2 linked regions of the Danio rerio genome follow. The protein of the gene in region 1 purifies or fractionates together with the protein of each later gene. This does not show direct contact. Links are inferred from orthologs where the notes say so. Each region holds a gene or a part of one and is shown on either strand. Other genes may lie near its edges. The genes, in order: zc3h4 and wdr82.

The links.
Region 2: the proteins of zc3h4 (region 1) and wdr82 purify together in Homo sapiens (affinity purification with western blotting; 4 studies listed by BioGRID and IntAct, with this or other methods). This does not show direct contact. The link is inferred for Danio rerio from reciprocal best matches to the Homo sapiens genes ZC3H4 and WDR82.

The regions. Positions count from the first base shown.
Region 1 is NC_133190.1:26,185,367-26,189,933, reverse strand, and holds the start of zc3h4 (zinc finger CCCH domain-containing protein 4), read left to right. Parts: upstream 1-1,559; 5' UTR 1,560-1,784; coding exon 1,785-1,864; intron 1,865-4,567. Other genes in the region: sae1 (SUMO-activating enzyme subunit 1), read right to left, coding at 118-218. UniProt on the Homo sapiens protein: RNA-binding protein that suppresses transcription of long non-coding RNAs (lncRNAs). LncRNAs are defined as transcripts more than 200 nucleotides that are not translated into protein.
Region 2 is NC_133181.1:44,014,449-44,017,319, reverse strand, and holds the end of wdr82 (WD repeat-containing protein 82), read right to left. Parts: intron 2,483-2,871; coding exon 2,413-2,482; intron 2,325-2,412; coding exon 2,182-2,324; intron 757-2,181; coding exon 727-756; 3' UTR 529-726; downstream 1-528. UniProt on the Homo sapiens protein: Regulatory component of the SET1/COMPASS complex implicated in the tethering of this complex to transcriptional start sites of active genes.

The sequences.
Region 1 (4,567 bases):
TACATTTAACCCAACTTATAATTTATGTTTTTTGCACACACAAACAATCATCTAAAAACAAGATCCATAAAATATGATTAAGTTTTGTTTTTTTGCTCGAAACCTTTATCCACGAACCTCTTTTGAGCATCGAGACCCCACAGGCGAATCTGGCGATCATATTGTGCAGCTTCCTCCTCACTAATAATAGTGTCTTCTTTTTCGATGGTATCGATCATCTCGGAATATTTGTATTTCTGATGATAAGCTGTAATCAATTAACTACGGGTTAGTTGGACTATTCTACGCTCTATTTTTTCTATTGCCCATTCAATGGGACAAAAGTGCCGCTTAGTGAAACTCGTAAAGGCGCGCAATGATGACGCAGGAGATGTGTGCCAGAATCAGAGCTCGACAATGGACATTTATCAGGGATCCTTTATACATCTAGCGAGCGTTAAATGTGTCACCAAAATATGTCATGTACATATGATGAATTTAATTTTTAATAATGCATAATTTTATGAGCAAAGGTCCGTTCATGGTGTTAATTTAACTTAAAATTTCTGTCCAGATATGAGTGAAAATGGTGCATTTTACTATTTTATAATAGTCTACTTGCAAAGAAATGGAAAAAAGAAAATTAGTACTTTTTATTTTAAGAGACATTAAATAATAAAGAGTATAAATAATATAGAGTCTTCTTTATTTTTAAAAATATTCTCAAAGGATTTGACAAATCATTTGACAATCATTATAAGATTTTCATTCATTCATTTTCTTTTTAGCTTAGTCCCTTTATTAATCTGGGGTCGCCACAGCAGAATGAACCGCCAACTTATCCAGCATATATTTTACGCAGCGGATGACCTTCCAGCTGCAACCCATCACTGGCAAAATAAGATTTTAATTTCAAACAAAATGTAATAGTATAATTTACAATAATAATGGTTTTAAGCAAACATAAACGTGACAGAATTATATTTATTGGAGTGTAGATCACTATTAATAGCATTAAATGATTGTTTTCTAGATCTGTGCTTGCAAAATAGAATCAAATAAAAAGTTGAGTTGTATAAAACTGATACTTTAGAGTTATTATATTCAATTATATATATATATATATATATATATATATATATATATATATATATATATATACATATATATATACATATATATATATATATATATATATATATATATATATATATATATATATATATATATATATATATATATATATATATATATATATATATATATAGGTCCAGAATAGGTATTGAAACATATGATACCAAAGATAATGCAATGTTGATATATTTTAACTGCAAGGCCCCTTTTTTGATAAAACAGTAATAATACAATGAATAATGATAATAATAATGATGATGATAATAATAATAAATACTGATAAAAATAACGTTTTATATTAAGATATTATGTGCATGATTACAGTTAATATATACTATTTTAACTATTACATTACCCTTAGAGTAAAAAAAAAAGTGTTTTTTTTTCATGACCCGATCGGTCATTTCCGTGACAGTCGACGTCACGTAAGTCCGCCCATTCTCTTCGGAGAAGAAGCGTCGCCATTTTAAGAGAATGAGTTTCATTTCACATCGCAACTGTAGGACGGAGAACCTCAGGAACGTTTTCAACCTGTTTCTCTTTTAAACTGTTAGGGGGGAATTGACTACAATGAACTGAATCTCTTCCTAATGCCAATCAACAAGTAGATCAAAGTCAAGTAACGCATAAGACAGTTGATTTTTTGCACTGAATGTAGTACGTTAGAGGAAATGGCTGTGGAAAGCATGACTGTCCATCCAAACTCCCCAACAGCCAACCACGAACACAACAGCCTTCTCACTGACGAAAGGTCGAGTAATATCATCATATTTCTATCCAACTATTGATTTGTCCTTTGCTTTTTTCCAAAAACAAAAAGCACGGGCATTTGCTTTTTTTCTTTCAAAGGGATTAAAGTCGCCTTTTCTGGGAAACGTACAGAGGTAACGAAACGCCATCTTGAAACGTTACACAGCGCAATCTGGAAGGTCACAAGCGAATCAGGAAAACATTCAGAATATGATCAAATTGACATTTTCAGTCACTTTCTAATGTTTTTTTAGTGATCGAAGACCATGGGGCCACCCCTACGTCAAAACATTGATCCTGTAACAGTGTTTTCATCACAGATAAAGAACAGATGGACAAAAGAAATCACAAGCTAATTTTTTTTTGTTATAGACCTAAAATTAAACTCCGACTTATTACCACAACGCAAACCGTATGTTATGTGGTAAAACTGATCCCTTTTTACGCATTAAGGAATTTGTTTATCCATCGCGAGGCCTGGACCGAGCTAAAGCTAGCAGTGCTAACAGTTAGCCAACAGTTTAGCAACAAAACACGGCTAACGGAAGCTAATGAATAGCGACGGATTAGCACGGTTTATAACTTGGCGTCTGATTAATTATTCCTTATTTAATTGGTCATCGAATGCAATACGATTTAGTTTATCTTAACGTAATAACGCAAATTTTAGTTCGGGATGATAATTTGTCTCCCTTTAGCGCTTAGCACTTATGCTAAGTGTCACGAGCTACGCACATAGATTTATTGGAGACGTCACTAAAATAACTTAAATATTTTTATTCCTTTAGGGTTTGGTTGCTTGAGCGTTACATTTGTGTTTTAACGTTAATAGGAGCTATGTAATCATAACTCATCCGCTTTTGTTTTTTAAAATAAGTTGTTAAAACATACAGGTACATTAAAATTAATGTAGTATATGATTTTATTTATTTTAAATATTTATTTTATATTTATGTCTTATTAGTAGCACGACATATGCCTGTTGATTCGGATTATAAAAATGTTTTAGGTTTCTTTACATTTAAGCTTCATGGGCTTTAATTTGGTTAAATGCCGTTACTTTTAGTCCTCCACATGAATTAATTTGTTGACAGTAGAAATAAATGTTAAATTGTTATTAATCTAGTAAATATGCCACAACAGGTGTCCCTGTTTTTCATACACTTCTTTTATTGTAATTTAGTTAGCTTAATGTACACATGCATCCCTTCATGGTCCAGTGCTGTTCAATGTCTCAGAAGCATTCAAGGTCTTATCAGAACACAAAAGTGGTTAACCATTTTGCCCAAACTGCAACCTTTCACCTCCCTTATGCATACATAAGTATTTCACAGTAAGTATTGCCAGAAATGTACAGGCCAAGTTATTTTATATATCTTTGCATGCAATTGTCTTTTATTACTTGCATACATACAGTGAACATACTTTGAATGATTATTATTTTTTAAGTTAGTTGTAAATTTGCCAAGAATTTCTTGCAACACCTTATGGCTAGATCCATTTTTGTTACATTGTATACATACTTTTTTTTTTTGCTTTTGTCAGATGTTATTTATTTCAAAGTGTGTTTGACAAGTAAATAATGCGAGGGAGCCCCATTTATAATTTTGTTTGAACCTATTGTTTTGTCATTGTATTCAAAAACATTAGAATGAAAAATTACAGAATCAAATGAGGTTTTTAAAAAAGGTGGTCTCCTTATTTACTGAGAGCCCACTATGTTATGTAACTATATTTTGTTTCACAACATGCTAATAATACCCATGAAATATTTTTGTTGACATAGAGATGAATGGATTTGTAGTTAATCATTAGTGACCATTTACCAATTGATTCTTTCTGTACTGTTTTAAAAACATTACCTGTTCAGAAGAACAGATAACTTGAGTTTAGCCATGGAAGATATGGTTCTTACAGTCCACTGATGAGGAAGTTTGTATTTTTATAATGATTTTGAGTTTTTTATATTATTAGTTAAATGTAAAAGTTTTGTCTTTAAAGTTTGGCAAATTGACTAATTTTTTATTGTTATTACTAATAGCATAAAGCTTTTTTTAAACTAGCTAAAGTTACTTAAAATATACTACAATATAAATATGTAAATGTGTCAGTTGGTTGATACTTGTGGAAACTTGTGTATCTTGAATCATATCTCATCCATGGCTTTGCATTTAGGTTCATGTTTTAGCAAATCCTTTTCCTGAAGTTTCCTTTTTCAGGAGTAAAGTTTAGGGGTTAATTGATAATGTTTTGTCAATGCGCACTGTAAAGTGCAGCAATGTTTCTCTGTCTTATGTGACTGCTCCTTATCTTTGTTTTGAAGTGTAGTCCTGTCTAAACCTTATAATTGCTTACTATACAACCTATATGTTAGATCTTCTATAAACAGGGTGGCTCTGTAGTGACTCAGAGTTGCTTTGAGCAATGCACAAATGAGCACTGAACATTTGACACCCCTAGTGTGATTCTCAACACAACTAAATTACAATGTTGCATCTGTAGATTGGCAGCAGTGTTCATAAAGACATCTCTCTTACTCTCTTCACTTGTAGTGTTTAATAGTCAGACCAGCAGAAATAGACATGCCAGAATTAAGAATGAAGGCCCATTTAATAGCTAATCAATATAGTGGACCATGATAATGCACTCCCATAATTTTGAAAACCGTAACCATTGTGCAGCTGTCAGTTATAGATGAAGAACA
Region 2 (2,871 bases), on another chromosome or scaffold:
CCTGAAAAAAAACCCTATTTGGATTAAAAAATAAAACAAATTACAGTGACAACAAAGCTACAACTCATATAAATAAAATGTGTTGTTTTGTTAGTGCAAAGTAAGTTACAAAACAAGATGACGCTTCAGAGAGGCTGGTCAGTGTATACTGATTATAAAATTTGTTTTTATAAGCAATTTACAATGCTGATATTACAAAGAAATGCAACAGAAACAGGTAAAATAATGGTATAAAAGCAGTTCCCCTCAGACACAATTATACTGGACTACACACAACAGCTAGAAGCATTACATGTCTGAAAGGCCTCAAAACCAAATCTTTGGAAAGTTGTATAAACATGTTTATTAAAAAAAAAAAAGTTCCATTGACATTTTTTTTTTAGATCGCACAAGATGCTAAATCTACAGGTGCTGACTTCTGGTATAGTTTGGAGAGCTAAGATCAATTCTGCTGGATGTTTTACATCACCTCAGTTTCATTGAGCACTGTTACAACCTCAAACAAAACAGAATGTGTGAACAGATCACTTAATGTTTTACAAAAACTTTTTAATCATACAAATATAAAATGAAAAAAAAATAATAATAATAATACAACTCGGCATCAAGCCAAATCTATTTACAGTCCAAAATTCCCACGGTGAACATCTTCATGTGTGCCAAGAGAAGGGTGAATGACGCCACCTGCTGGAAGAACATCACAGGCCGACTGATGACAGCTGCCCATCAATCATCAATGGTGGGTAACCAGAACGCCTGTGCAGGGGACATTTCAGAATATGTTTGTGATATACATCAGGAATAATGATGCATCTATATACACCTTAATAAAATGGGAATGGCTGGTGATATTAACGTCCTGTTTGTGGCACAATAGTATGTGAGGGGGCTTGTAAATAACTCATGAAAGAATAAAATTGTTAAAAGCAAGCACATCATTGTTTTTTTTGTGTGAAATTCCCAATAAGTTTATTAAGGTGTGTCCATTTAAATGGCCCACCCTGTATGTGTATATAAATATAAATATATATATATATGGCCGTCAATTAGTGACTACTGCAGTATTTACACAAAGAAAACGCAGAAGATTTTAAGGACAATTTGACAACCCTGTGTACTCTTTTTATATCACATTTTCCCCATTCCATTTCTCCAATAATTACCATAAAAAATTAGCAGTGAATGCTACTGACTAAAATACCTTATACTAAAAAGGCTGTTTTATACAGTTGTTTTATGTTCATCTCTTAAGTTCTTTTTTTTTAAGTCTGCATCACAAGTCACAAAAATAAACAATAATAATAAAAGTAATACTTTAAAATGAGGCTAATATTTTTCTGATCTATTTACACAAACAAAAAACACATATGCTTAAATAATTGTTTTGAGTTTAACATTCACAGACTACAGTCCATAGCAATTTCCTTTTCATTCATTTAAATTCTGTGAATCTTTTATAGTAAATTATACTATCGATTAGATTGCACCATTTGACATTTTATTATTTTCAGAAAGCATAGAGTACTAAACGAATGCAAAGTAAAAAAAATGCCACTGAGATGAACAGGAATACTAAGGCATATACTGATGGCTGAAGGTCTGGGAACTTTGGCAGATTTCAATGGTTAAAGAACCACCCATGATGCCATTTCAGACTGACAGCTTTACCAACCAATAACCATTCGTTTTGTGTTGTGTCTTATGTATGTGCGTGGAAGAGTCTACAGAATGCCTAGCCATATGCGTCATCCATTCAGGTCTTCAAACGTTTACAACAACGCATCAATATACTTAATGATCTGTCAGCAAAACATATAGGAAATCAGTAGGAGATGTATGTGGACGCAGACTGAGATAAACATTGCAGCAGTTTTTTTATCCAATCAGACTTGTTTCCAGGTGGACTGGTTAATATTGCTGTACACTAGACTCCCAGAAATCAGAGGACAACTGATGATCTGTTAAAGTGTTTCCAATTAAGTGTGCCATATGCATCAGACATTTAGCCACATGTCCGTGAGCAGTGTTTGGCATGACATCTAAGACTAACTAATTCATAACTACCTCCAAGTTTCTCCCAAAACAAGTTTTGAAAATGTGACAAATTGCACATATTCCATCTACATATACAGTAAGTTATGCCAAACATCAGATTTGTGTCTACCTTCGGTTAAGTCTTACCATGTTAGAACAGGCACTGGCAAAGGTCATGAATTTGGGGTTAAACTGTAGACATGTAACAGGACCAGTGTGTTTCCCATCCAGAAGCGCTACTTTCATCCCACTCTCAGCATTCCACACATGGATCTTCCCATCTTCTGATCCTGGAAATGTTGAGGAGACACGATCAATCTCTGTAAACTCATCTTAAGTCCTTTTGTAGTCCTGTGAGAAGCTTAAGTGAAGACTTACCGATCATAATGAACTGAGAGTCTGGTGTGAAAGAAGCCTCCAAAATGACACCTTTACTGTTGTTATAACCCTGCAGTAAGAAAGAGAAACACTCTTAAAAGTGCCTTATTATGCTTTTTTCTAATATAATCATAAATGCTTTGTAATAATTAGGCTATTTATTAATTTATGATGTAATATTAAGTATTTTTGAAAAACTTTTTACCTCAAAAGATTAAATTACATTGGTTAAAAAAAAAACAAGCCCATTAAATAATAGGTGTCAATTTACCAGAAATGCCATGACAGCACAGTAGCACTATAGCAAGCAGCATGAAAAAGTATATACTACATAGAAATGTCCCATCTGCACTTTATGAGTGAACTTAGCTCTTTCACTGAGCATTTGTGGTTCATGCACAGAGAAATATGTGCAAATGAGCAAAATATCCACAGAGAGTAATATATTAAGCTAGTTTG